7 linked regions of the Rattus norvegicus genome follow. The protein of the gene in region 1 purifies or fractionates together with the protein of each later gene. This does not show direct contact. Links are inferred from orthologs where the notes say so. Each region holds a gene or a part of one and is shown in the gene's direction. Other genes may lie near its edges. The genes, in order: Rbm8a, Ncbp3, Upf3a, Ddx39b, Pym1, Upf1 and Upf2.

Region 1 (4,375 bases):
ATGATGGGCAAAACACTTTTTACATTATTTATGCAAATTAGAAAACCTTGCCTGTTTATATTAGTGTGAGTAAATTTGTTTTAAAATCCATTAGAGAAAAAAAAATGCCAAGCAAAAAAATAGAAGCTATGGGGTGGGGGCTACTTCCCTAAGTACAGTGCTGGAGGCAAGATGGCTCAGAGGTAAAGAAATCTTGCTGCTCTTGGGGAGGACCTGAGTTAGGTTCCCAGGACCTGAGTTAGGTTCCCAGCACCTGTACTGGGCAGTTCACAATAGCCTGAAACTCCAGCTCCTGCGGATCTGATATCCTCTTCTGGCCTCGTCAGGCAACTGTACTCAGTTTCACTACGGACACACAAACACAAATAAGGAAGATCCAGGTGGCTTACGCTGAGGCAGGCAGAACTTTGTGGGTAAAATCCATATTGAGTTTCAGGCCAGTCAGGTCTGACAAACAAACCCACCTGTGATGGTTACTCTAGGTTGTCAGCTTGACTATCTCTGGAATGAACTACAAATCCAGAAATGGAGCACACCTGAGAGATTTTCTGTTTGGTGAAGTGGGTTGATCCACTTCTAGTCCAAGCTTTAGGTAGGAAGGCACACCTCTGATCCAGTTCTTGAGGCAGGAAGACACTTGCCTTACTTTAATCCAAATCTTAAGGCAGGGAAACATAACTTTAATTTGACCCCTACCGTTTGCTGGACGTCTATATAAGAACATAGATGGAGGAAGCTTTTGCTCTTTACCTTGCTCTTAAGCCCATTTCTTCCCGGCATTGGAGATCTCAGGATTCTAGACCAGCTGTGACATCAGCCTTGTGGGACTAAGCAACTACTAGATTCTTGAACTTTCTGAACACAGCTTGCTATTCTTCAATTAGTTGGGCCACAGTCTATAAGTCATTTAAATAAATCCATACACGTAGCTTTGGATCAAAGGACTTCTTCTTAGTTGAAGGTTTTAAGAGAAAGTCACTGGCTTCACTCACCCTTTAAATTTGTCCCAATGCGGTTGAGCTCCCGACCTCCAACCTGCTCAACTTGGCTGTAGGAGAACTTCCGAAACCATTTTATTTTACTTTTTATTTTTTGAGACAGGGTCTTACTCTGTAGTCTTGGAGCACGTCGTGGTAGCACACGCTTTTAATTCCAGCAGTATGTGGAAGGGGAATATAGTTGGGTATCTGAAACTCCGAGCCCAGCTAGGGCTATATAGAGAGACCGTGTCTCAAAAAAAAAAAAAAAAACAAAAAAAACCCAAAAAGCAAAAAACCCAAAACACAATCACAAACTATGTAATTTACAGCCTCAAACTCGAAGCGCTCCACCAGAGCTCGGGAGTACAGGGATTAAAGGCGTTTAATCACGCCAGGTTGCCATCTCCACTCCAAAGAGGGGCCGCTTACATTTGCGAATATTCACCGCGCCGAGGGCGGGACTTGACAGCAACCTTGATTGGTCGGCCTGACTAGTGACGTTTTCCCTCTACGTCAGTTTCCCGAGGTTCCTAGCTACTAGACGCACAGAGAGCGCCGAGAGAAGCAAGATGGCGGACGTGCTGGATCTTCACGAGGCCGGGGGCGAGGATTTCGCCATGGATGAGGATGGTGACGGTGAGTAGAGTGGAGGCAGCTGCGGGAAGAGGGAAAGAGGGGAAGGTGCGAGAGGAGAGTGCAATAGGAGAAATTTTCCTGGGATGGAACCCAACAAACTGGGTCTCGAAAAGATAAGACTCCTCCCCCTTGGGAAGGAATTAGGGGTGGAACCGGGAAGGGACTGAAGCTGGAGTCCGTGCCGTCAGCTTCCAGATAGTGTAGGAAACGAGACAGTTTTGTTTGTTTGTTTGTTTGTTTGTTTGTTTGTTTGTTTTAAAGATGACTCATTTTTGTTTATTTTCTCACTTGGAACTTTAGAAAGCATCCACAAACTAAAAGAAAAAGCGAAGAAACGGAAGGGCCGCGGTTTTGGTTCTGGTGAGTGTGGGGAAATAGGGTAGAGTGATCTAATAGGGAGAAGTCCGCAAATTTGGGGGTGCGATGGGAACACATTTGGAGGACAGTTTTCGGTGATCTGGTATGCATTCTTTTAGAAGAGGGGTCCCGAGCGCGGATGCGGGAAGATTATGACAGTGTGGAGCAGGATGGCGATGAACCTGGACCACAGCGCTGTAAGTAAATAGGACCTGTGGGGAGTCTGTTTGTATTTATTGGCTCTTAAATGGAAAGTAAAGAGTTGTTTAAACCAATCTCAGGAATTGCTTATTGTTGTTCTTTTTGGGATTTTTCTTTTAGTTTTTTTTTTTTTTCTTTTTTGGATACAGGGTTTCTCTGTGTACCAGACCTGGCTGTCTGTCCTGAAACTTTTTGTAGACTAGGCTAGCCTCAAAACTCAGATCTGCCTGCCTCTGTCTCCTGAGTATTGGACTTTTTATCTTTACATGTTCATACAACATCTTCCTCTACAGCTGTTGAAGGTTGGATTCTCTTTGTCACTGGAGTCCACGAAGAAGCCACTGAAGAAGATATCCATGACAAGTTCGCTGAATATGGGGAAATAAAAAATATCCACCTGAATTTGGACAGGCGCACGGGATACTTGAAGGTAGATTTTTCTTGCTTCCTTCACTTACAACTCTTAGATACATTGTTTACATAGATTATGTTTTGTTTGCTGGGTTGATCAAGCACAGGTAGGGAGTGAAATAACATTGGAAATTGATTTTGTTACTCACAAGAAAGAGTTTAACAGAATGAGCATGTTGTGTATATATAATGGGGATGTGTGATGTACTTTTCAGTGTGGAGCTGCAAAATTTTCCTGGTTGGTATGCATTTCTGGGTTAAGGAAGAGGGTACTTGATAGTTGGTGAAGTAGAATTTTGATACTTTTTGTTGTCGCTTGTTTGGGGACAGGGTTTCTCTGTGTAGCAGAGCTCTGACTGTCCTGGGCTCATTTTGTAAACTAGGCTGGACTGCCTCTCCAATGCTGGGATTAAAAGTATGTGATGTCATTCCTGGGTAAGCTTTGATACTTTTATGTGTTCCCCTAGGGGTATACTCTAGTTGAGTATGAAACATACAAAGAAGCTCAGGCTGCCATGGAGGGACTAAATGGTCAAGATTTGATGGGACAGCCAATCAGTGTTGACTGGTGTTTTGTTCGTGGTCCACCAAAGGGCAAGAGGAGGTAAAGATGATGGGGTGGAGACCCCAAATTTATCTTAGTGAAGGGAACATGAGCAGGATAAATAAGGAAGGATACTGTATTATCTTTCTGATTCCCCTTTTGTTTTTTCATTTTCCTTAGAGGTGGCCGAAGACGAAGCAGGAGTCCAGACCGAAGACGCCGATGAGATACTTAATAAATCCTCTGTTGACCAGGTGGTCTCCATGAGTCTATTTGGTTATGCTGCCTTGGATAAACAGGGCTAGGATGGACTTTGTGTTTATATTTAATTTCTTACCCTACTTGGTAATTTTGAGTTTAAGAAAAAAATAAATGTCATTTTGTTTTCTACATTTAAAACTGTGTTTGACTGTTCTGGAAATTCTAAACAACCTCAGTGAGGCCTTCTGAGTGGTTGTGAAGCTACTTCTGTGTGGCGTGGCCTTCTGAGTTTCTAGAAAGGCTCACAGAGACTGCTCAGCATTTCTTTAGAGCATGAGAGTGAGCAGGTGTAATGGGTTTTTCTTGTGGTGTTCAGTGAATTTTACACTCTTGTGAGCAGATGCTATGTCAGTGTCTTGTGTAGCCCAGGCTGGCTTTGAACTCACTGTATTGTAAAGAACTTTGATTCTTGCCTCTTACCTCCCAAGTGCTAACATTGCACCCATGGGCCATCATACCCAGTTTATGTGGTCTCCGGAATTAAAACATGGAGCTCTGAGATGCTCAGCCAGCTCTACTTTGAATATGGTGCTAAACTGTGAAGTTTGTTAGTTCCTACAACATAAAAACCCAGCTTAAGTACTACTAGACCAATATGCACACCTTTAATTCCAGCACTTGGGAGGCAGGTGGATCTCTTGAGTTAGGGGCAACCTGGTCTACACAAGAGTTCTAAGACAGCCAGGGCTACAAAGACATTGCTATTCCTTTATTATATATAGTTTTTAGCTGGGATGTTTTTTTAGGTGTGTCTGTTGTAACTGATTTGTTGTCTGTGTGGGTCCCTATGTGGCCCACACTGGCCTCAAACTGATGCTCCTATCTCTGTCTTCCCAATGCATAATGGCAAATATTAAACATAACTTTTTCTCAGTTGGTATTGGCCCTTCCTTTTAGTAAATTGCTGGGGGGGGGTGTTGGTGGGTTGAATTAGTTATGAGTATATTTTACTTTAGGGTTCCTTGGTGGTTTCTGGTAAGGTAGA
Region 2 (3,645 bases), on another chromosome or scaffold:
AGCTTTTACTGTGGAGCCTTCTACCGTGCACCAGACTCTTGGCTTTTAGTTTGTGTGGATGTAACAGTTCATCTTGGAATCTTAGAATAGTGGTTATACTTGTGTAGAAGAGAAAATGGGTTTATTAAGAAACACTTTGAAGTGTTACCTAATCAATAAAATAAGAGAAAGCAAGTAGGGTTTGTTAGAAATGTTGGAGAGTATTCATTTGAAACATTTGTGTGTGTGTGTGTGTGTGTGTGTGTGTGTGTGTGTGTGTGTGTGTGTGTGTGGTGCTGGGACAAACCTAGGGCCTCGCACATGTTAGGCGAGTGCTGTGCCTCTGCTCTGTGTCTTCAGCTGAGTATATTCATTTCATGTTTAAATATTAAAAAGTGGTAAGTGTTTACTATATACCAAATTCTGGGAACAAGCTATTGTTTTTTTAAAAAAACAAGCCCTTGCCTCGCTGTAATTATATTCTAGAGGGGAAGTCAGATACAGTTGCATGGTGTTAGGAGACACAGCAGCACTATGAAGACTGTAAAGGATGAAGGGAAAGAGATTAAGGGCTACAGGGATGGTATGTGCTGTGCTTTCAGAGGACCTAAGTTCCATTCCCAACACCCATGTGGGATGGCTTATGGCTGCTCGCTATACCCACTACAGGGTGTCTCGCTTTGTTCTGTCCTCTGTAGACAACTGCACTCATGTGCACACAGCTCCACACAGACACATATAATGCACGTAGTTTTAAGAAGTGTTTATAATAAAAGAGATAGAAAATGATGGGGATTACTTTTTAAGGGAGATAGTCTCCAGAGGAGCAGGTGCTATAACACTGATGGGTATAAATGACAGAATGCTTCCTAGTGGTGACTGTTCAGAAAAAGTATGAAATACTTGAATTTTTATATTGAAAGTATTTTTCCTTTTCTCTTAAGTTGGACACATTGTCTCAGGTAGAAGAAGAGTCTCTGTTAAGAAATGACCTTCGTCCAGCTAACAAACTCGCTAAAGGAAACAGACTGTTCATGAGATTTGCTACGAAAGGTAAATTTGATATTTGGTATTAATTTTTGGTTAGAATGATGAAATTATTAAGTAAAACTTTCCCGTTGACTGGAAGCTAGCTCAAATAATGCCGAAGCTCCTTTTAAACAAATCCTTTAGGAAAAAGCAGCTCCCTGACTGAGAAGCCATCTCTTTCACATTTGTATTTGCTAGTATTTATTCACTGTTACCTCCCATGCATGCTTATGATGTATTGGATCCCATTTTATCCTCTTCGTGTTCATATATTCCCACCCTTTCCCTTTTGACCTCTCCCCTTTTACCCAGTGCTGAAATCCACATAGAAAAACAGACAGGGTGCTTTGTGAGCCTTTGATTTTGTTTTTCAAAGCAGGGTTTCTCTGTGTAGCCCTGGCTATCCTAGAACTGGCTCTGTAGACCAGGCTGACCTGGAACTCAAGGCTCTACCTGTCTCTGTCTCTCAAGTGCTGGGATTAAATGTGAGCCACATTTAATCTGGCTTGACACTGTTTTTATGAAGTAAGGTTTTTTTTTGTTGTTTTTTGTTTTGTTTTGTTTTTTTTTCTTTTTTTTGGAGCTGGGGACCGAACCCAGGGCCTTGCGCTCGCTAGGCAAGCACTCTACCGCTGAGCTAAATCCCCAACCCCATGAAGTAAGTTTTATTACAGTCGGGTTTTTGTTTGAGCCGTAGGTACTGAGCACTGGAACAGAGGGCATTGGCAGTGCTCAGGGTGCCCTCTAACATTCTTTTTTTTTTTTTTTTTGGTTCTTTTTTTCGGAGCTGGGGACCGAACCCAGGGCCTTGCGCTTCCTAGGCAAGCGCTCTACCACTGAGCTAAATCCCCAACCCGCCCTCTAACATTCTAACCCACCCCTGAAGTGCTGCTGTGGGTGAGGATTTAGTTAGGGTATACTGGTCTGACCCAGGCCGTCATCCAGACGCGTGTCTGTGGCAAGAGAGCTGGCTTTGAAATGAATGAGACTCCTTCAGCATACACTGAGTCTACCACTGTGTCCATCCTGGTCATCCTGGTAGGTAACAAAGCGATGGCCAGTGGTAAAGGTGTTCCTTCAGCTCCACTGTCACTACACTTGAATCCACCTGGAATCACCGGATCAGGGATTCTCCCACCAAGGCCTAGGCCAGCATCTAGCATGTTGGTAGAAGTCTGATTTTGCAGAAACTCCTCCTGAACCAGAGCTATGTGTGCAGTATACCTTTGCCTTTGGTGTCTTGGGCTGGTTTCAGGTGAGATATAAGTTGAGCAACCTAGGCCCCTCAGTGTAGTAGAGAATGAATACCAAACGCCCCTTATGCACTGGGAGAGCCCACTGTCTACCATGTCTGCCTGCTTCATGAAGTTCTCATGTGTCTTGTCATAGAGGATGCTGACTTTCATTAATACCAGCAAGTAAGCCAGCATTTTGTGCCAAATAACAGATAAATGAGTCTTAAAGTGCTGAGCTTGGCCCTGCCACAACTTCCTAGGGAACAGGAGCATATGGTAGGAGTCCATTGTTGACAGTGTTGCCATCCGTGTGTCTACCATAGTGCCATATGAGGATAGGTAGCTTTGGTGTTCTATCTCTGCATAATTTCTGTGCCCCTATATTCCAGCAGAAGAAATGTGCTTGCTGGTATCTTATCTTGGTAGAACTTTCACTGTATGTCCTAATTTGGAACAGTGCCATGAGGGTACTGAAGGTCTTTCAGGGGTTGATAGAATGGGCTGTTGCAAATAGTGTTTTGGTAATCATGGATGTGCAGATTTGTTTTGGGCATATATCCAAAAGTAGTATAGATGGATTATTTGGACTTTTTATTGTTATATTGCATACTTAAGGTCAATCTGAACTGCATGAAACCCTGCCTCAAAATACAAACATCAACAATCAACCAGTCAATATTATTTTCACTCTCATAGGAAACCCTAAGTAACTGTTCTATTAACTTTAGATGACAAAAAGGAACTTGGAGCAGCCAGAAGAAGTCAATATTACATGAAATATGGAAATCCAAATTATGGAGGCATGAAAGGAATTCTGAGCAATTCATGGTGAGTCCAAAACCTTAAAATATGATGGCTGTTTGTCTATCTTAATGTTTTTATTAGCACATAATAGACTTCATTATGACATCAATGTACATGGAGATAATGCATTTTGATAGTTTGATCTTGGCCTCTCCTGTCCCCACCCACTCCTCTTCAACTAGTTCCCTTCTACCTTGACAGCTCTCTTGTGTGTGTGAGTGACCCCTTGAGTTTTGTTAGGGTTTTTTACAGGAGCACGGGTATCTTACCAGTAGTCACTGAAGACAACTTCTCCCTCCCTACTCAACTACAAATTGCATATAAATCATGGGACCCTGTGAGTCCGTCCCTATTCCATAACAGAGTTGATGAACTCAGTCTTGGGTAGGTTTCTGCCAGAATCACAGCTTGAGATGAGTGCTGCAATCATGCCATACCCAGGAAGTTCTTCTTCAGCTATTAGTTCTTTCCTGGCCCTTCCTCCACAGTGTTTCTTAAGACTGAAGGGGTGATACAGATGTCCATTTATGGTTAGGCACTCAGGAGTTTTTTATTCTTGGCGTTTTGTCAATTTCAGGTTTGTTTCGTTTTTTTTTTT
Region 3 (4,406 bases), on another chromosome or scaffold:
ATGACAATTCATAAGGCCTCTATTCTTTCAATGGTATCTTTCGCATCCCCACAGCTCTTTACGCTCTGAGCACTCAATGGCATTTCCGGCGCTCCAGCCTCAAAACTCCAAAGAGTTCCATGGTCTTCAAACACACACACAAGAAAACATGGTCAGCCTGTTGGCAATAGCCCACTACTTACTACCAATTTCTAGCCTAGTTTTCCGTTACTGTGATAAAATACTGACCAAAAGCAACTTGTGGGAGGAAGAGATTTAGTTCCTCTTATAGCTCTCAGGTCACATCCATCATTGGGGAAATCAGAGAAAAAATTCAAGTAGGAGGCAAGAACTAGCAGGGCCACGGGAAAACGCTGCTTATTGGCTTACATATTACAACCAAGGACCACCTGCTGACTCTCTCACATCCATTAGTGGAGAAACTGTCCCACAGGCAAATCTGATGAAAAGAAAGCCCCAACTGGTCTTTCCTTAGGCCAGACACACAGGTGGGCAGTCAATGGCTTTATTAAGGGGGCTAAAGCCAGCCCAAGGTAACTTGGCTCTGAGCTTGTAATGTTCCAACTTTCTTCACTTGGCAAGTTATTATCCATCGGCCTTGTACAGTCTTAACTGTTATGGGTTGTTTTTTTCCTGACAACACGTTCCCTACATCAGCCTCTCAGACATGTGTTTTCTTCCTAATAAGCTTAGCAGGCCATCATAGCTCTTGGTCAGCGTTAACTGGTTATTCCAAACTGACCTGGTTCAAATGGTGGGCTCAGACGCCTGGCTTCCCTTGCAACGTGAGGTACTGGAAACTATTCCTGCACACGCTTCTATAGAACTTTGATGTTTGAAGCCCTGTAGATGGTTTTGAGTCGGCTTATTTAAAACGTCACATTTCAGGAGTGCCACAATCAACACGGGACGTCATTGTGAAGCCTGGTTGCACTTAAAGTAAATCTCAATTTCTGAAATTCTCTCGTTCTCCTTTACGCTTAACCTAAGGAGAAAAGGTTACTATAAATAAAAACCATAGCCAACGCGAATAAGAAAAACTGTATTGTTTGTCTGCAAAAGACAAATATTTTTGCCAGACGGTGGTGGCCAATGTCTCTAATCCTAACGCTCAGGAGGCAGAGGATCTCTGAGTTCCAGGAGAGCCAGGTCTACAGAGTGAGCTCCAGGACAGCCTTGGCTACACGGAGAAGCCCTGTCTCATCGGAACCAAACACCTAGGAGGGAGGGGGAGGGGGCCGGAGTGGGGGAGAGGTGGAGGGAGGAGAGAGATGCGTTTAATTTTGGGGGCTGCCCCAGCGACTGCTCTCGGCTCCTGGGGCCTCCCGGTCCCACACTGTCGCGGCCTCCATCCAGGTCGCAGGTCAGCAGCGCCCCGGATGTGCGGAGCGTGCACCTGCTCTCGGAGCGGCAGCACTGATTTCCCTCACTGTGGTCCCTATCCTAGGAAGTTCACGGGCGCTGGGCAACACTGGCACCGCCCCTTCCCCGTCAGGGCTGGGGAGGGGACACCGGACACCGAATGCCAGGGAGGGGCTGCCTAGTCCTCGCGAGGCTTCGTGCTCGCGGAGGTGGCGGCGGGCGGCCGGTGGGGATGCGCTCGGAAGAGGGGGCCGGAGGCCTGGGCGCAGTCCTTTCTGCGCGGGGCCCGAGCTGGAGGGAGAAACTGTCCGGAGCAGAGACCCATTTCCGCCGCGAGTCTACGCGGAATGAGTCGGCGGCGCCCCCGGCCCCGGCCTTAAGTGAGAGCGGGGTCGGCAAGCCTCGCGAGGAGAAGAGGACGGCCCTGAGCAAGGTGGGGGCGGGGCCCGCAAGTCTCGCGAGAGGACGGCTTTAAGCCCCAAGGGCGGGCAGGGCTTGAGGAGGGCGGTGCGGCTTGCTCCTCCCAGGGGCGGGGCCTCGTCTCCGAGGTGACGCCTGTGGGATGGGTTAGGATTAAGGAGCGGCGGTCCCCAGGATCTGGGAAGCTCCCCAATGGGAGTCGCATTCCCCGGGATCCGGGTCCCCGACTTGGGGAGCCGCGGTCCCCCGGGCTCTGGGAAGCTCCGTGATGGGGAGTCTCATTCCCCGGGATCCCGGAGCAGGGGAGCCGCGGTTCCCCGTGCTCTAGGGAGCCCCGAGTTGGGTGGGCGGGGAGGGTGGCAGCACCTGAGTGATGGTCGTCGCAGGTTGTCCTCCGGCGTCTGCCCCCGGGCCTCACCAAAGAGCAGCTGGAAGAGCAACTGCGTCCTCTACCCGCGCACGATTACTTCGAGGTGGTGGCTGCGGACCTCAGGTAAGGGGCTGCGGCGGGACACCCACGGGAGAAGGACCGAGGACCCCCGCGGCGCTCACAATTGCAACCCCCTCCCAGCTGTCAGTGCACGCCCACGTTAGGAATGGCCGAGCCACCGCATCAGTCGAAAGGGAACCTCCGTGCTCCCGCGGTCCCGCGCTCTTTTTCCTTTGCGTTTCCATGCCTTCCTCCGCGTAGCTTTTAATACACTGTATGGTGAGGAAAACCAGACTGCATCCCTTAGACACGTTGAGGCTGGAGTGTTTCCGCTAGTGAGGGTCCAGTAACTGAGCTTAGGGCCTGGAGAAGTGGAATCTGTCATTGCATGCACTGGGTCCATGTCAGCACCACACACCCAGTCAGACAGGTTCCCTGCCTGTGGTGATGGGAGCTACACCCGGCTGACCTAACCAGCAGAAGTTAGAGCCGCTGGAATTCAAATATTTATTTTTATGTCCTTTTATGGTTTTCTTTTTCATTTGTGTCATACATGCTTTCCTTTGGGATACCAGTTTTTGTTTTTAAAAAAAAAAAAGGTCTATCCAAGTTAAAATATAAATAATTGTTAAATGGGTATCATTTAAAAACCACAGGTAGTTTTCAGATGGCTGAAGTTTAGAAAAACAGTTAAAAGAACAGGGAGTTACTCAGTGGAGTCCCGGTCCCAGCTTGAAACTTGCACCCTCTGTACAAACAGATTGCTCTAAACTTTAATATTCTCTGTGAATCGGAATGGAAGGATCCCTACCTGAGAAAAGAGCTGTGGCTGAGATGGGGATAATGGTTTAGTGTTTCTTGGTACCAAAGCACTGGTCTACTCATCCAAAAGGAACTAACAGTACAACATGTCATCCATGAAGGAGCTAAGACTAGTCTTGTTCTTGTTCAGATGTACCAGAAACAACCCTAAAAGTACCCATGGTGTTTGGGTGACTAATGGAGTCTAGTATTTTAACCTTGGCTGTGTACAGTAGAGGCGCTCCTGGATAATTAAGGCTTCAGTTAATGGGTGGTTTTTCTCCTCCTCTTCCTCTTCTTCCTCCTCTTCCTCCTCTTCCTCTTCCTCTTCCTCCTCCTCCTCTTCTTCCTTCTCTTCCTCCTCCTCTTCCTCCTCCTCTTCCTCTTTTTCTTCCTCCTCTTCCTCCTCCCCCTCCTCATTCTCCTCTTCTTCCTCCTCTTCCTCTTCCTTTTTTTGCTAAGGAATACCCAGATTGTTAAAATTAACTGAGCAGTGATTCTTTGGCATAAAAAAGTGTTTGCTTATTCATAAAAGATAAGGCCAAATTAAGCGTCGTACAGCTTTACTAACCATCGCTGTCTCGGGTTTCAGCCTCTACCCTCACCTCTACTCCAGAGCGTACATTAATTTTAGGAACCCTGATGACATCCTGCTGTTCAGAGACCGTTTTGATGGATACATCTTCATTGGCAATAAAGGTTAGTGAGTTTCAGTTAACTTCTCAAATAAGGTCATAAACGTTTACTGTTACTGTATCGCGTGCTGTCGAGGCTTATAAACCAAAGAATCCCAGACATTCTGTGTGAGGAGAACAGGAATGCACCATTGCTGGAGAGTGGGTGTTCGCGCGTTCCTTTTCCAAGTTACATTTACGCAGGAATCCAGAGTACTGGCCATGATTGCGGTTTCTTGAAAGTGTTGCAGAGGGGCATATGGTCATGAATAGCAGCCCTGGAGCATGCGGTGCGGTCTCCCCCTCAGGGACTCTGCTCCTGAACTTTCTGCATCTGTTTTTATATTCTTCCTTCCCTGTCCTGTCCAACTGCCCTGTGTTATATTTTCTGCCTTAAGGTTTGTAAACATTCTGTAGGAAGCTCTTTTCTGCCCTCCCCAGACATTCTTTCCCCACCCATCCCCCTCCCAATACTGAACTCCTCCATCTCTCCTCCACAACTTCGCGGTCCCTTCTCCGTTGTGGCGAGCAGAAGGTCAGGTTGTAGTTTCTGTGAGTCTGTGAGTGTCAAGCAGGTTTAGGGCTCAGGCTATTGGGCATTTTAGTTCACTGCTGACTCCTTTATTCAGCTGATCTCTTCATTTTAAATATTAGTAAAATATATGCATCTGAAATCATCTTATCTCCCCCTCCCCTTTTTGAGATAGACTCTTTTAGCT
Region 4 (3,645 bases), on another chromosome or scaffold:
AGCTCTGTAGGGGACCTGTGCTGTCAGTGGTGCGTTCCTGCAGGCTGGGCACATGAGACTTGAGTCAATGCCAGGCCTTTCTGTAACTGCCTTTGTAGGTTCCACACTGTGAATAAATAAGTCTGCGTGTTTCCTGAGAGTTCATAACTTTAGGTGACGCCATCGCAGCACTCAGTAATTAGTTGGGTTTTGGTATTAAAAATTCCATTCCAGAGCCTTGAGCTACTCAGTCTGGAATTGAGCTACCTCCAGGCCCCTTTGTTCTTATGTCCAGGATTGTCTTGTAACCAGGTTATCCTGGGAGGCCTGGCACTCGCTTAGCCCAGGCCACAGGCCTTGAACCTGCCTGAGGCTCCTGCCATACCAGTTCCTAAGTAGTTGGGACAGGCCTTTGCCACCTGGCTTGGCCAGAGCCTCTGTTCTCTTCTCCTGTATTGCTGGGTAGATTGCTTGAGAGTTTGGGAGTGTATGTGGCAAGAGGAAGCTAGATGCTCTTAGAACCACTCTGGTGTGGACTTTAACTCCGGAACGTTTGGTGCTTTCTTGGTCATAACAAGTGGCATGTGTCTTCTATGAAGGGATGTGGTATGGCCTTGTACTTGGCATCCTTTTGGAACTTGGAGATTATTTATTTCTATGCTTGGACATATGTGGCCTGCTGTGTTTGAAAGTAGTTGTAACCTGGCCCTGAGTGGAGAGATGTATGTGGACTTCCTATTCTGGTTAGGTGGGGGCCCTTGGGTCACTTTTTTTTTATTTTTAATAGAGAATGTAGTTTTGCTTGGTTGAGGCAGCATGTCACCAGGGATGAGTGCTTGCCATCATCTGTCTGCTGCTTGAGTGCAGGGGGGTTATTTACTTATTATATATAAGTACACTGTAGCTGCCTTCAGACTCACCAGAAGAGGGCATCAGATCCCATTACAGATGGTTGTGAGCCACCATGTGGTTGCTGGGATTTGAACTCAGGACCTCTGGAAGAGCAGTCAGTGCTCTTAACCACTGAGCCATCTCTTCAGCCTTCATTGTATGCTTTAAAGGAACTTGTAATTTTGATGCAGAACCAGAAACTGAGAATAGTTTCTTTAAAATCAAAGTGGGGGTCAGAGAAATGGCTCAGGTAAAAGCATTTGCTGCAGAAGCCTGAAGATGACTTGCATCCTTCCCTCAGAACCATGTAAGGTTTGCACCAGATCCACAGTGTCCTCTAACTCTCACGTTCACTTCCCCCACACTCAAAAACCATGTATACACAATAAGATATTGTTACATATACAACTTATATGTGCGTATCCCACCACAGGATTTTCCTGTGTAACCCTGCTGTCCTGAAACTTGCTCGGTAGAGGTATCCTGGGCTGGCCTCCAAGTCAGCCCTGCCTTTCTCTGCCTCCTCCGGGTGTCACCATCTCCACAACCATGTCCAACCCAGCATGACATTTAAAAAAGGGAATTGTGGAAGAAGAGAAAAAGGAAAGACAGTGTGCAAAATGCTAAAGGAATCCAGAAATCTTGTGATCTCTGAGGTCCCCATTGCTCTGCATAACCAAGCATTGACATTGTTTTCCTAACCTGTCTCTGTGCAAGCTTCCTGGCCTCTTTGAGAAACATTGTAGCGTATTTATATTTTTTTTCCTCCTAGGATTTTGAAAATAGTTTGTGATCTGGAGGCATTGTCTGTGTCTGTGCTTCTGTTTGTGTGTCTGTGCCTCTGGTTGTAGGTAGTTATCATACGCTGCCAAGAAATGAATAGACTTGCAGTTCTTTGGCTGAGCGGTCCTTCTGGGTGAATCTAATAGTTGGAAACTAAAGCTGTCCATGGCTCATTCCTGTAACCCAGGGCTTGGGAGGTTGAGGTGGGAGTTTGCTGGAGTTGAAGGCTGCCCTAGGCTAATGTCTCAAAACCGAGGGGGAGAATTGCAAACCATTTACCAGGAAGCTGCAGTCCTTCTCTCTGGTCCCACAACACCCTGTGTTACTGAGAATGCTCTGAGGGTTGGGATCAAGTATGAGGCCAGGTTTGGTATTCAAGTCAGCAGAGTAGCTAGTTAGGCCAAGCACCCCACCTCACCCCACCAGTTAACTACATAGTCATAAAATCAGAATTATCTGTACTTTTCCTTGGTTCTGCAACAAAGTGTCCTCTAGGGGGCAGTCTAGTGCCTCCCTTAGGTTTAGCTTGCTTTCCCCTCAGCATCTGCAACAGACCAAAACTTGTGTCTGAAAGCTTAGTTGATACCTGCTAACACACTTCGGAAAGGAATGCTCCTGTGTACACGTGTTAACCATTCATGACTCTATTGAGAAAAGGAAGAGGTCACCACAGAGGAAGCTTCCTGGTGATTTCCGTCCCCCTGAAATTGAACAAGTCCAGGCGTTTCACCTAGTGTCAGAGCTCACAGGTCAGCACTCACCTAGTGGTTTGCACTAGTGGTGTGGCCTTTATCTCAGGAGGAAGCGAAGGCTGCAGGCCAGCCATTCTGTCCTCAGTCAGGGAAGCTTGCCTGTGGGTTTTGTTTGTCTGCTGGCGCCTCACACTTCCTTGGGGGCTTCTTGCTTTCTTCATTTGTAAAGGAGGCTGTGACTTTGGAGTCACCTGTGCCTCATTGTGTAGGCCAGCTAGGGCTGTGTAGAGTGATCCTGCCTTAGAGTTCGAGTGGAGGCAGAGAAGCTGAATGTCATCCCCGCCCTTCCCCCTTAGCCCTGCCATGGTGAGCAAGTCACTCTGTTTCTTACTGGAGGCCTGACAGCTGATGGCTGGTTTACAGTCAACTGCAGGATGGATGCACTGGTATTGGCAAGGTGGCCCATTGCCTTTAACCTGCCCTTGGGCAACAGACAGGCTGATGTACAAAGTGGGTTCTAGGCTGGCCAGGGAGGGCTATACAGTGAGGCCTTGTCTCAGACAGAGGGATGGGGAGAGAATGGGAGCTCTGGGAGACTGGAACATTTTCCTTTCTTGTGAGACTTTCCTGTTGGCCGGCAGGTGGCAGTGTTTTTTGGCGGACTGTCTATCAAGAAGGATGAAGAGGTGCTGAAGAAGAACTGCCCACACATTGTTGTGGGGACTCCTGGCCGAATTCTAGCCCTGGCCCGAAATAAGAGCCTGAACCTCAAACACATTAAACACTTTATCTTGGACGAATGTGACAAGATGCTTGAACAGCTCGGTGAGTGGTGTGCCCGGCCCCAGCTCAGGTGGTTTAGGGAGCTGCCCTTTGGAGCCAAATGATGTGTGTTTGATATAGGAGCACTGTGTGCAAGGACGACCCTCATCTATCACCCATGACTGATGGCTCCGGGCTGCTTCCCCTGGTGCTGTGGTGCGGTGCAGTGAGGCTGTGCGCCCAGCCTTGTGCTCTCCTTTCTGTAGCAGGGGACAGAATGTGCTGATACGTCATCACCACTGCCCCTTCTTAGGGATGGACCATGTGCTGGGGGTTAAACTAGAGCAGCAGGTGCCTGCCCTTGTAGCCCAGTATAGCATGTGCGACCAGGATTCATAGATGTGCAGGTTTCTGGAGTTAAATTCTGGAGGTATCTGGTAAATGTTCACAAGAGATCACACATTCTGGTGGTGTAGTGTGCCATGTGCGGTTAAAAGAAAACTTTCATTAAGAGTTTCATTGGGGAGTGCTGGAGAGA
Region 5 (4,418 bases), on another chromosome or scaffold:
TAAGGGTTAAGAGGAACTCAGTCTTACTGTAGCATCTTTGCGCCTTATTTAGGATCTGTGCTTTGCCATACTCCAAGTCAGTTGGTGGTGGGGGTGGGGGAAGAAAGGAGAGAAACGTCCACGGAGGAGGCGTTTGATGACTCTAGTTCCAGGTGCTCATCTCTTTAATCAACCACATCATACAAGTCAGAGAGAAAGAAACCGCAATGAACAAAGGGAAAGGAAAAAACAAGCCTGTTTTCCCAGCCTCTTCTTCCTCTGGGTGGGGGTACACATCCGGGGCCCAGGGCTGGGTCCAGGGCCAGTCTACTGAACAGACAATTGAGTTTCACTTCCTGCCAACCTGCAGAGATGGGGGCAGGATGTCTGAGGGGTACAGTGGTGGGGGAGTGTCCAGAGATTAAAGAGTAAACAGGTCACATTAGGATTTCCCCTCACTGAGCAGGTCCGTGGAGAGTTGTAGAGACTGCTCTTGAAATAGTTCAAATCATGCACCTCCCTCACTAATTTTCAGAGGCACCATTCCATGTTCTCATCTCTTTTTCCTCTCTGAGGAAAGGTTACTAGAGAGACAGAACTGAAGTACAATCGATGAATGAACAGATAGGGGCTGGTGGGCTTAGGGTGAAGTTCACTGGCCAGAATGATTGTCTGACTTATGCTAGCTATGCTAGCTACACTCGGCTACACTCTAGGTTCCAGCATACCTCCTCCCACCGTACACACAAACAAGAGGAAGCAAGGGCATGGGTGAACACACACACACACACACACACACACACACACACACACACAAACAGTGAGGGATTAGAAGTAAACACTTGTAATAACATGTAGTATATGCAAATAGCGTTAGTGAGTTCTTGAAAACTTTGTTGAGGTTATCAGCCTGTTTTTTTTGTTTTGTTTTGTTTCTTTTCCGGTGCTGGGGACCGAACCCAGGGCCTTGTGCTTGCTAGGCAAGTGCTCTACCACTGAGCTAAATCCCCAACCCCTTGTTTTGTTTTTTAATCAGTTTTTTCCTCCTTTTGTTTGTTTTAAAGTGAAACATATTGTCTATTGCTGAGGTAGTCACTAACCTTTTCCCCTTCTCAATTTTCCCCATCACTGTTGGACGTTGAGCAATAGAAGAGGGTGAAAGAGTTAAGGAAAAGCTTTGTAGGAGGAGGGCAGAGTCTAACACCTAAGGAGAGGCGCTTGAGCCAGCACCTTCCTGACAGAAGAGGAAACAAGTTTAACAGGACCTAGCCCCAAAGGAACTAATTTGCTGAAGGGGGAAGGGAGGGATAGGGACGAGACTAAGGCGTTCCTTTGAAGAACAAGGTTCCCTACAGGGCACAACCTAACAAAGGGAGTGGCTTCACAGTCCCAATAGATTTAAGGGTGAAACTGCTGGTGGTAGCCGAAGCTAATCCGAGGTGTTGGGCGCGGCTAATTAGAATACTGACTGGGTCCGCCCTAAAGCCTTCACTCTGTGCCCTCTGACCCGGAGGATCCACTACTGAGCAGCAGGCCAAGAAGTTACCTCGCCGCTGAATCCCCAGGGCTGCTCGCCAACTCAGTCATGAAAACCTCCAGCACCCCTGAGGCCACGGGCACAGGTGATCGACCCGCAGTGCGCCGATCTTTGCGCGCTCTTTTCCTAGGTCTCTGTTCAGTTAAGCTGGGCGGCAGAGAGTGATCGACAGGCGAAGTAGACCTGCCCACCTTAAGTGTTAGTCGGGGTTTTCGTGCATCCCCTGCACTCCTGAGACTCTTCTGCTCGTGCCAATGAGCGCCCTGGAATTTGGTGCAGGCTACGGGCCTTGCATCTTCCTTTCCTCTTTTACCAGCTTTTCTACTGGGCCTTGAGCCTGAGAGGACTGTCTGGAGTAAGGCTTATGTAGGAACTTCTCTTCGAATCCAGAGGATTGTTTTATATACATCAGGAGGTCAACAGTGGTATCGGTGGTAGTAAAAGAGCTCACGACTATGAGCGTCTACACTCCCCTTTCCGCCTCCCGAGTCAAAGAAATGGGGCAGTCTCTCTTTAAGATTAAAATGGTGGCTTGCTATGAGGAGAACTCCACTTCCGGCGGGGAGGGGGCGGGACCCCAGCCCGCTCACGCCGGAAGTGGTTAGGGTTCTCAAGATGGCGACTCCCTATGTAACTGACGAGACCGGCGGTGAGTTCGGGAATCCGGGAGCCGCTTCTCTCGGGATTCTTGGGTTAGGGGTTCAAACTTGGAAAAGGGTTTGTGCCACGCCCATCCCGGGGCTCCTCCTTTGCCACGTCCCCGTATCGCTTTCTCCATTCATTCCTTTGGGTTATTACCTGCGCCCCCTTCTGGTCTCGTGTCTGGGGGGGGGTCTCTGCTTCCGGTCTCCCAAACCCTGGGGTCCTTCAATGTCCCCTGCTCCGGGACCCTTAGGAGCCTCAGCTATTTCTAGTTGTTGGAGTCCCGTACCTTTTCAGGGTTCTCCAGCATTACGAGCTCCTGCACTATCAGTTCCCTCCAATTCCAGCCTTCTTCCCCCCTCCCCCATCTCTTACTGTTATACCTGCTCTCTACCTTTCCCTGTCTCCATTCTTTTTTCTCCGAGCTGTATCTGCTGATGATCTCATTGCTACATAGTGCTTTCCTCACTCTTTGCCCGGTCTTCATTTGTTTGGGGGTGGGGGAGGAAGTGTCACTGAAATCCAAGAGGTGTGAAGGGAAGAGGAATTTAACTTTCAGCTTGACTTTTCTCACTAATGGAGTTTTCCATTTAAAGTGAGAGAAAACAAACAGGAAAGTATCTACTGGCCTTCCTCTCAACATCTTTGACAATTGAGAGAACCCCATTATTTCTTTAAGTTTGAGTAGAATTTCATTCCAGCTGTCTGAAATGTTTAAGTCTGCTGTTTGTGTGTGGAAACTGAGAATCAGTTTTATGTTTTTGTCTTGTTTGTAATTGCCTTGTCTTTGGAATAATGTGCAATGTTAACTAAGAGTGATCAAATAGTTATAAGAGAGACATTTGAAAAACTCAGTGCAAGCATCTGGTAATTGTTTTTGTAGCCCTCATTTTGGTCTTCATGTGTGGTCACTGACTCTAAGGTTTTGTAGAAGTGATTCTGTGATTGTGCGGTAATACACCATGTGTTTTAAAGTGTGCCTTGTATGCTTCTTGGTTTGCTTTATATGTTCCTTATTAAGTAGACTTCCTGTTTTATAATATTTAATGACAACTTGATTTTCTGCCACCTTTCCCTGTTCTTGCATTCCAAAGCGTTGTAGCAGTGTTGCCTTATGTTCTCTACTCAGTAGGTCTTATAGCTAGCAACTGGTTTTGTCTTGTTTTTTAAAGACAGGCTCTCACTATGTGCCCTTACTTGGTCTGGAACTCCCAATGCAGACCACACGTCTCTGCCTCTCAGACGCTGGGATCAAAGGCATGCACCACTGTGCCCAACCTTTAAAAAGCAACTTTTTCTTTAACCCTCCTCCAGTCCCCAGGTGTGGTCTCTCTATGTGGCCCTGGCTGGCCTGGAGCTCACTGTGTAGAGATCCACCTGCCTCTGCCTCCCTTGTTGTGGGATTAAAGGCGTGTATTACCATGACAGGCAGCTTGCAGCAAAAGCTTCTTATTCTTTTTATGTATGTGTTCCATCTGGCCCCTGCCCTGCCACAGAGATGTTTTCTGTTCTTTGTGATCTCTGTGGCTCCGTAGAAAAGGAAAGTGAGCTGTTCTTTTGCTTCTCTGCTTTTCAAATGCTATTGTAGCAAAATAGCAGTGTTCCTGTCTACTGCCCACAGATGATGGGGTTTTTGGTATTTGTTTTTTAAAGACTTATTCTATGTGTGTGATTATTTTGCCTGTGTGTATGTCTGTGCATCATTTGTGTGGTTGGTGACCACAGAAGTCAGAAGAGGTATTAGATCTGGAGTTGTAGTTAGAAGCCAGTGTAAGTCAGTACTGGGAATCAAACCCCCAAGTCCTCAGTCCTCTGCAGTAGCCACTCTTAATCCCTGAGCCAACTCTCTAGCCCTTTTGTTTTTATTTTTGTTGTTATTCTGTCTGTAGCAGCTTGGGAATACTCTGAACTCCCTACTTCCTGAGCACGAGATCATTGACGTACCTTTGTATTTTCAGCTACACCTCAGGATTACTACAACCTGGACCTCATCTGTGACACATTTCCTTTCAGGTATTCCCCTTCGCTTTAGCCTCCTCACCAGTCGCCATTTGACTGTCTCAAGTCCACAGAGGCAGCTTTTTGCCCTCTTTAGGTTTCCTGGTTCCATGTGTGTGAATGTGTGTACTTGCCTGTGTGCACGTGCATGTGTGGGTGCAGTCCACATGCATGTGGAGGCCAGATGTTGATGTCAAGTGTTTTCCTTGACCCCCCCCCCCTTCCCCTGCCACACCTCCTTATATCTGACAAGATCTTTCCC
Region 6 (4,194 bases), on another chromosome or scaffold:
GGCAGCTCACGACCATCTGTAACTCCATTTCTCTGGGGATCATGTGCTCTCTTCTGGCTTCCAAGGGCACTGCATAGACATACATGGTGCACAGGCATGCATGCAGACAAACACTCCTCCATCTCCAGAGTCCTGGGCCTGGGCCTCTACACACAGCATCTTTTTTGTGTTTTGAGATTATGTAATGCTGGGTGTCCTGGACATCGCTCTGTAGACAAGACTGGCTTCAGAGTTAGCAATCCCCCTGCCTCCGACTCCTGAGTGCTTGAATTTTAAGGCACGTGCCACCACATCCAGCCCTGTACTGACTGGGAGAGCCACCTCAGCAGAGGCAGCCACCCTCCTGGGTTTTCCCCTCCCAATAAATCTCCTATGAGGTTTGTTGTGTGCTGTGACTTTGTTGTATTCCTTGGCTCCCAATTGCCAGGATACCTTTTGGAACACAGTGAAACACTTTCTCTGGGGAAACCTCCCCTGCCCAAGCAGAGCGGATCCACTTCTGTGGGGGAAGGCCTTTCCCTTCAGAGCTGCGACACTTACACATCCTCCACTGAGAGTGGGAAGGTAGCACAGGGAGGAAGGAGTGTGTTCCTCTGAGTCTCGATTCTGGCTGTGGATGCTCATCAGTTGGTGGCCTTTGCCTAGCATACAAAAGCTCTGGGTTCTGTGGACAATATCGAATGTACAGTCATCGCACCACCAGGGGCTTTGAGGCAGGAAGATTCCCCAGAGTTCCAAACCAGCCTGGGTTACTATATGAGGCCCTCTTTCAAAACAGGCTAGAGAGATGGCTCAGAGGCAAAGAATTGGCTCCCAGCACTTACAAGAGGGGCTAACAATCATCTGTAACTAGTTCTAGAGGATCTGACCCCTTCTCAGCGATTCCCAGGCTAGCCCGGACCAGTGGGACTTGATCTCAAGATAAAAGAAAGAAGCAGTTATCTTCACAGGCTTCAGGAGTGCCAGGGGTAGCAGTGACTACCATTTGGCAGAATCCCTGCTCTCTACTCATTCAATCGATGAATAGTAAAGATGGCCACGAGTCAAGTGGCAGACGGGGTAACTAGAGCTCAAGGAAGGCAGATGCGCGGTCCCTGTGCCACAGTTTCTACACCCAAGACCTTCTGGAAAGAGCCTCAGTTAGCACCTAATGAACATGCAGCCCAGAAGCCTGGCGGTGAGGATGTCGCAACCCCGCATGCGCATCACTAGGCAGCGGTTGGGGCGGAGCCAAGTTCGCGAGCCCAGGTCCTTTAGGCAGTTGAAGGCCCGCCTCTTCGCGCAGGCGCACGACGAATTCCGCCCTCCCGCTCTGCTCCTAGTGCCCCGGTGCGGTTGGCTACTTTCCGGGAGGGACGCGCGCGCCTGCGCCGGCGTCGGGCTCGCGCACGCGCACCGCAGCGGTGGCGGCGGCGGCGGTTCCTGTCCAGGGGGCTGAGAGCGGCGGTCGGCTTTGAGGCGAGCAGCGTTGCGGAGGGGCGCGGCAGCGGCGGCGGCAACTCAGAGCTCGGAGCCGGAGTCCGGGCTCTGCTTCCAGAGGCCGGCTCGGAGCCCGCCCGGTCCTCAGGGCGGCGGCAGCGGCTGCTCCGGGTTACGGCCTAGGCCTAGGCGAAGCCTCGGGCTCGAGTGCGGTGAGGCGCCGGCGGAAGGCGCGGCCCGGGCGGCAAGATGAGCGTGGAGGCGTACGGCCCCAGCTCTCAGACACTCACCTTCTTGGACACTGAGGAGGCCGAGCTGCTCGGTGCCGACACCCAGGGCTCCGAGTTCGAGTTCACCGACTTCACCCTACCCAGCCAGACGCAGACGCCCCCCGGCGGCCCCGGCGGCGCGGGAGGCCCAGGCGGAGCGGGTGCAGGCGGCGCGGCCGGCCAGCTCGACGCGCAAGTGAGTTGAGCGGCGCATGGCGGCGCCGGAAACCGGGCGGGAGCGGGAGCTGCGGCGCCAGGTCTCAGTTAACCAGCCCTGGGCCCCTGTGAACCTGCGCCAGGTCCGAGTTTGTGCTGGTCCGAGCTACCGGCCCCAGGTCCAGTTAATAAGCCTGGGTGTATGCTTCCTACTCTGGCTCCTTAAACAAAATCCCTATTGACCATCTCTAGTTACCCACCCTAGATTCCTGTTTAACTGCCCAGGTACCTGCCACCTGCCTTGGGTCCTTGTTACCTGTCCTAGATCTCTGCTACCCTACCCTGGTTCCCGTTTACTTACCCCTTTCCCAGATCTCTGCTTCCACCTTCAGCTACCTTTTCCAATACCTCTCCCAGGTCTACCTGCCACAGTCATTGCCATCTGCCTCAGGTCCCTACTACATACCATCTCCTCTAATTCCCTGCCTCTTGTCCTAGCCACCTGCACCTAGTCTCTGCTACCTGTCCTGTTTTCCTCCACCCAGCTAGACTGGGCAGTGACCTGCATTAGTGTCCCTCCTCCTGTATAGCACAGAATCTGCTCCAGCTCAAGGCTTATGCCAGAACTGCCCTCACTCCCCTTCTAGGTGGGTCTAAGGTGACCTACACTAGGTTTCTCTGGCCCTAGTGCTATCCTCTGGACCCACACTGTCCTCCAGGGTCACCTATTTGGCTAGTCCAACCATCCCATCTCACCCTCTTGCCACTTCCATCCACCACGCCTCCAGCCAGGGTTCAAGTTTGGTGGAGGGGCTCTCTGGAGCAAATCTAGGGTTTTGGCGCCTCGGGTGGAAACAGCCCACTTTGTGGCTGGTTAAGGTGGCTGAGAGACAGCTGCTGGTTCGTTTTTTCCTTCTGGGTTGCCTGTTGCTGAGACCAGTGTTATGTAACTCCTAGGCTCTGCTTGGAAAAGTTGGGTTTGAGTTTTGTTCCTTAGAGGCAACCACAATGGGTATCACACGGGTGACTGTGCCCTGGGGAGGGGCTTTTGTTTTGAATGACAGACTGTCGGTGTAGGCTAGGGACAGGCCATCCCTACCTCCCTGTCAAATGGCTGGCTTGGTGTTGGGCACCTCTAGGCTTTGTTTTCCTGTATTCTCCGGGGAGCTGCCGACTAGAGCCACAGGTGTTCTTACAGTCCATGTGTGTGCTTAGGGCTAGGGAGCCACCACCAGTCTCCAGCAGTGATCTCAGACCGAGTTCCGGGAGGGCCTTCGAGCTGGCTGGTTGAGTCATATTTGTGGGTAGACCACCCACTTGGGCTCATTTTCAGCCCTAATAGGAGAAGAAGGCTGAGTCAGCCCCTACTGCGGTGCAGGATCAGGTGTGCCTGCGTGTTGTTTCTAGCTATTTACCTTTAGCGTAAGGAGGTGGAGAGAGGGCAGGTTGCCTGGAGGAGTGAAGTGGCCCAGAAGGCCAGTCCTCCTGTTAGTTTCCCCACTAGGTAGACCTACTTACCTACCTTCCTTCCTTCCTTCCTTCCTTCCTTCCTTCCTTCCTTCCTTCCTTCCTTCCAGCCTTATGGGCCTGGAGAGGGGCACTGTGCAGCAGGCTGTGATGGCACAGCTGGGGAGACCAGGAGTGGAAGTGGGGTGCTTCATCTCAAGGTCTTTTAGCTCTAGCTAATGTACAAAGCAGACTTGTGCTATGCGTGTGCTCACATGGGTGTGCCCTGCTCCGCCAGTTGAAACCATAGATTGAGCCATGAGCTGCCGCCCACCTGTGGCCTCTCATCATAAGGGAGGGAGGGAGGGAGGGAGGGAGGAGGGAAGAGATGGAGGAAGGGAGGAAGGGAGAATGGGAAGGAGGGAGGGAGGGCCTTCAATCCTGTATTAGGAAGACCTGTATCTGTGGGCAGAAAGTGAGCAAAATTGGAAAGTGGAAAAAATCCTTTGCACACCCAGTGTCCTCAGCCACCAAAAACATTGCTTTTCGTTATTTATCCTTGGAGGTGAATGGGTCACACAGGGGATCCTAGGAGGATAGACCCCCTACTCAGTAGGTTGAGCTGCCCCTGTGGGCTGCTGGCAGTTCTCTTCTGGCTTTATTGAAGCAGAATCATGGAACCTGCATATATCCCTGGAAAGCTGACAGGACAGTGGCCTTTTGGGCCACCATCATTAATACCAAGTAATGTCTCAGCATCCTGAGTCCCTGTACCCCCAGCCTCTCTCTTCAGCCACCAAGAATCCTGTGGCCTCTGTGGATGTGAATGTCTCAGGCCCTTCCTTTGCTGGATAGATGGCATAGTATACTTGTCCTGTGTCTCTCATGTTTGTGGTTCATTACT
Region 7 (3,645 bases), on another chromosome or scaffold:
TTTTATCAGTCACTTCAGTAAACACTGAGCATATTTTAATTTGTTTGATCCCAACTGTGATACTTTTACTATTTCCCATTTTACACACAAGGAAACTGAGGTTGTCTTCTCTCTTAAGTGACTTAGAACATGTGTGTGTGTGTGTGTGTGTGTGTGTGTGTGTGTGTGTGTGTGTGTGTTTGTACATGTATATAAAGGCCAAAAGGCTAATGTCATTTAGGTGTTTTCTCTTGCTAAACTTAGAACTAGCAAATTCACCTTTCCTTGCTTGCCAGCAAACTTCAGGGAGCTTCCCATCCTCCCCTGTCCAGCATTGGAATTGTAGTCATTGTGTAGTCATGCCTGGCTTTTTTTTTTTTTTTTTTTTTTTTTTGGTTCTTTTTTTTTTTTTTTTTTTTTCCGGAGCTGGGGACCGAACCCAGGGCCTTGCGCTTCCTAGGCAAGCGCTCTACCACCGAGCTAAATCCCCAACCCCATGCCTGGCTTTTTTTATGTGGACTTAGCGGTTATCAAACACCTCCCCAACTCAATTTTTAATTTTTTTTAAGTTACAAATAGTGGGTTCATTATGGCTTTTCCATACATAATGTGTTATTACACTTGCCCTGCCCCTACCCGCTCTGATACCCTTCTCTTGTCACCCCCTCTGCTCTCTGCTTGTCTCCTCCCTCTGCTGTAATAGCACGTTTTCCTTTACCCTCTGTATTCCACCTTTCCCTGTCATCTGTATCTTCTTGTCCCCAAGTTTTCTCTGTACTTTGTATCTTACAAATGCACACACGCACACACGCACACGCACACGCACACACACACACACACACACACACACACACACAAGTTTAGATCTAGAGCCCTCATGAGAGAGAACATGTGATGAGCATGACTTATCTTGCTTAACATAATGATCTGTTGCTCTATTTTTCTGCAAGTCTCATAATTTCATTTTTCCTTACAGCTGAGTAATGCTCCATTGTGTACCATGTTTTCTTTATCTGTCCTCTGTCTTTATTGATTCCCATAACTTAGCTATTTTGATAAATGTATCAGTAAACATGGATGTTCAGGTTTCTGGTACAGTGAATTAGCATACCCCAATGGTGTGGTTTGTCATGGTACGGCAGTTCTATTATTAGCTTTCTTGAAGAATGTCTACACTGACTTTCATAGTAGCTATTCTAGTTAAAATTCTTCCCAGTTGTAATGCTGGGTTCTTGTCTTCTCTCCTCTTCCTCTTCCTCTTCCTCCTCCTCTCTTCCTATTCTTTCTCTTCTTCCTCCCAACCCTCCACCACTGTTTTGGAGACAGGCTCTCTCTACGTGTCTCTGACTGCCCCGGAACTCACTATGTAGGCCAATCCGGCTTGAACCTACAGCTCTCCTGCTTCTGCCTCCTGAGTGTTGTGACTGAAGGGCTGTGCCACCACCACTGACTCTTCCCAATGGTTATCAGAATTGGCTGGCATTTGCTTTCTTGTTGATAGCCATTATGATTGTGGTGACCTAGACTCTTGCCTTTTTTCAATGGCTTAGGATTTTGGACACTTTTTTACATATTGCAATTTGTATTTATTCCTGTTAATTCACTTATTGATTAGAAGATATTGCCAGTATTTATCTAAACAACAATAATAATTAATTCCCATTCTCTATATCTCTTCACTCTGGTGATTTTTTTTCCTGTGCAGAAGTCTTTTAATTTCTTGTCGACCCCTTTGTTAATTTGGGGGATTATTTCTTAAGATCTTTGGGGAGGCCTTCCCTGTGCCTAACATGTTTCTTCTGGTGTCTTTTGGCACTTTGAGAGGTTCAGGTCTTTCATTAAGGTCTGGTCCATTTGAATTGATTTTTTCTGAAGGGAGAGGGATAGATCTAGTTTCACTCTTTCCCTATGGATAGCCAGTTCCAGTACGACTTGCTGATGAGGCTGTCTTGTTTGGTTTTGTTCTCCACTGGTTGGTTTTGTCAAACATTAGGTGGCTCTGATTGTGCAGCTTGTTTCTCAACCATCTATTCTTTCATTGGTCTGAACATGGCTTTATTTGTTAGAAATAGATTTTAAATGAGATTATTTATGTCAAATCATATATACTAGTTTTGGCAAACCATGGCTTTTTTTCTTTCTGCAAGCTTAGTCTTTGACTAAGTTACTGTTAGTTTATTTTTCTGACTCTACTCTGTACATTTTTTTATACATGCACGTGTTGTGTAATTACCTACTGAACCATCTCATCAGCTCTCATTTGACTCTTTTAAGACCCAAATGCTATGGGACATTTTTGAGAAATACTGTAGAAATTATTGAAAGGTCTAGAAAGTAATGATAATAAATTTTCATAATTAATAAATCTCATTTTACCTCTTTGTAACATAAGAAAACTGATAAAAGCCTACTAAAGTATTTCAGATTTTAAAATTATCTTAATAATTTAAACAACATTTTCTTCATGTAGGTTTTGAGACAGATGCGAAAGTTGCCCTGGCAGGACCAAGAAGTTAAAGACTATGTCATTTGTTGTATGATAAACATTTGGAATGTGAAATACAATAGTATTCACTGTGTAGCCAACCTCCTAGCAGGACTAGTGCTTTACCAGGAGGATGTTGGGATCCACGTTGTGGACGGAGTACTTGAAGATATTCGATTGGGAATGGAGGTAACACATTCCTCCATATTTATACCCAGTTACAGCTTGTGGAGAACGTAAAAGTCTTTAAACCCTACTATTGAAAATATCAATTTGAGCTGGGGGCTGGTGGTATACATCTTTAATCCCAGCAGTAGGAGGAAGAGACAGGCAGATCTCTGTAAATTTGAGGCCAGCCTGGTCTACAGAGAGAGTTCCAGAACAGCCAAGGTTATAGAGAAACTCTGTCTTTAAAAAGCAATAACAACAACAAAACCTGTTTTTTATATTAAATCATTTGCTGCTTCTTAGGAGCTACTTATGTGTGAATTTGTATATTAAATTTTCTGCCGTGGGCTGGTGACATGGCTCAGCGGTTAAGAGCCCCGACTGCTCTTCCAGAGGTCCTGAGTTCAATTCCCAGCAACCACATGGTGGCTCACAACCATCTGTAATGGAATCTGATGCCCTCTTCTGGTGTGTCTGAAGACAGCTTCAGTGTACTCACAGACATAAAATAAATAAAAAATAAAAATAAATTTTCTGCTGCAAACTCAAACAATCACTAGTATCTATTTTAATTCTTTTTCTGAAGCTGCTTTAAGTTTATTTTGTAAGATTACACTATATTTTTATTATTTCTAGGTTATTGAGACAATTCACAGGAAATGATAAGCTTACTAATTATAAATATTTGATAATTATAGGTATTTTGCATACTTTCCTCTTAATATAAATGTTATATAACTAGCTACCTTTATTTCTTGATTCATAGATTGCAAAGGAAATAGCTTGGGTGGGCTGATAGGAAGACATTGTAACTATTTAGAAAAAGCTCACTTATGATAGCTTAATATTTACCTCAATATCTAACATGTACCTTGTACCTTTTATTAAGGCATTTTAAAGATAACCATTTCTTAGAAAATGACAGGCTATTTAGAAATAGCCACAGTATTAGAAAAGGAGTAAAGAAGCTACCATTAGCTCTGACAGATGTTCTTTGAATAGTTGGTACTCTT

What was found.
Region 2: the proteins of Rbm8a (region 1) and Ncbp3 purify together in Homo sapiens (co-immunoprecipitation; 3 studies listed by BioGRID and IntAct, with this or other methods). This does not show direct contact. The link is inferred for Rattus norvegicus from reciprocal best matches to the Homo sapiens genes RBM8A and NCBP3.
Region 3: the proteins of Rbm8a (region 1) and Upf3a purify together in Homo sapiens (co-immunoprecipitation; 4 studies listed by BioGRID and IntAct, with this or other methods). This does not show direct contact. The link is inferred for Rattus norvegicus from reciprocal best matches to the Homo sapiens genes RBM8A and UPF3A.
Region 4: the proteins of Rbm8a (region 1) and Ddx39b purify together in Homo sapiens (co-immunoprecipitation; 4 studies listed by BioGRID and IntAct, with this or other methods). This does not show direct contact. The link is inferred for Rattus norvegicus from reciprocal best matches to the Homo sapiens genes RBM8A and DDX39B.
Region 5: the proteins of Rbm8a (region 1) and Pym1 purify together in Homo sapiens (co-immunoprecipitation; 11 studies listed by BioGRID and IntAct, counting the BioPlex papers as one, with this or other methods). This does not show direct contact. The link is inferred for Rattus norvegicus from reciprocal best matches to the Homo sapiens genes RBM8A and PYM1.
Region 6: the proteins of Rbm8a (region 1) and Upf1 purify together in Homo sapiens (co-immunoprecipitation; 7 studies listed by BioGRID and IntAct, with this or other methods). This does not show direct contact. The link is inferred for Rattus norvegicus from reciprocal best matches to the Homo sapiens genes RBM8A and UPF1.
Region 7: the proteins of Rbm8a (region 1) and Upf2 purify together in Homo sapiens (co-immunoprecipitation; 6 studies listed by BioGRID and IntAct, with this or other methods). This does not show direct contact. The link is inferred for Rattus norvegicus from reciprocal best matches to the Homo sapiens genes RBM8A and UPF2.

What each region holds. Positions count from the first base shown.
Region 1 is NC_086020.1:186,852,535-186,856,909, forward strand, and holds Rbm8a (RNA-binding protein 8A), read left to right. Parts: upstream 1-1,501; 5' UTR 1,502-1,549; coding exon 1,550-1,616; intron 1,617-1,916; coding exon 1,917-1,976; intron 1,977-2,092; coding exon 2,093-2,170; intron 2,171-2,467; coding exon 2,468-2,604; intron 2,605-3,052; coding exon 3,053-3,189; intron 3,190-3,309; coding exon 3,310-3,355; 3' UTR 3,356-4,268; downstream 4,269-4,375.
Region 2 is NC_086028.1:58,181,122-58,184,766, forward strand, and holds part of Ncbp3 (nuclear cap-binding protein subunit 3), read left to right. Parts: intron 1-923; coding exon 924-1,032; intron 1,033-2,971; coding exon 2,972-3,071; intron 3,072-3,645. UniProt on the Homo sapiens protein: Associates with NCBP1/CBP80 to form an alternative cap-binding complex (CBC) which plays a key role in mRNA export. NCBP3 serves as adapter protein linking the capped RNAs (m7GpppG-capped RNA) to NCBP1/CBP80.
Region 3 is NC_086034.1:82,467,847-82,472,252, reverse strand, and holds the start of Upf3a (regulator of nonsense transcripts 3A), read left to right. Parts: upstream 1-1,566; 5' UTR 1,567-1,594; coding exon 1,595-1,795; intron 1,796-2,168; coding exon 2,169-2,275; intron 2,276-3,605; coding exon 3,606-3,712; intron 3,713-4,406. UniProt on the Homo sapiens protein: Involved in nonsense-mediated decay (NMD) of mRNAs containing premature stop codons by associating with the nuclear exon junction complex (EJC) and serving as link between the EJC core and NMD machinery.
Region 4 is NC_086038.1:3,583,097-3,586,741, reverse strand, and holds part of Ddx39b (spliceosome RNA helicase Ddx39b), read left to right. Parts: intron 1-2,986; coding exon 2,987-3,170; intron 3,171-3,223; exon of another isoform or gene 3,224-3,298; intron 3,299-3,645. UniProt on the Homo sapiens protein: Involved in nuclear export of spliced and unspliced mRNA. Component of the TREX complex which is thought to couple mRNA transcription, processing and nuclear export, and specifically associates with spliced mRNA and not with unspliced pre-mRNA.
Region 5 is NC_086025.1:1,761,214-1,765,631, forward strand, and holds the start of Pym1 (partner of Y14 and mago), read left to right. Parts: upstream 1-1,496; 5' UTR 1,497-1,564; coding exon 1,565-1,601; exon of another isoform or gene 1,602-2,053; coding exon of another isoform or gene 2,054-2,165; intron 2,166-4,116; coding exon of another isoform or gene 4,117-4,171; intron 4,172-4,418. UniProt on the Homo sapiens protein: Key regulator of the exon junction complex (EJC), a multiprotein complex that associates immediately upstream of the exon-exon junction on mRNAs and serves as a positional landmark for the intron exon structure of genes and directs post-transcriptional processes in the cytoplasm such as mRNA export, nonsense-mediated mRNA decay (NMD) or translation.
Region 6 is NC_086034.1:19,109,150-19,113,343, forward strand, and holds the start of Upf1 (UPF1, RNA helicase and ATPase), read left to right. Parts: upstream 1-1,388; 5' UTR 1,389-1,668; coding exon 1,669-1,884; intron 1,885-4,194. UniProt on the Homo sapiens protein: RNA-dependent helicase required for nonsense-mediated decay (NMD) of aberrant mRNAs containing premature stop codons and modulates the expression level of normal mRNAs.
Region 7 is NC_086035.1:77,172,235-77,175,879, reverse strand, and holds part of Upf2 (regulator of nonsense transcripts 2), read left to right. Parts: intron 1-2,449; coding exon 2,450-2,653; intron 2,654-3,645. UniProt on the Homo sapiens protein: Involved in nonsense-mediated decay (NMD) of mRNAs containing premature stop codons by associating with the nuclear exon junction complex (EJC).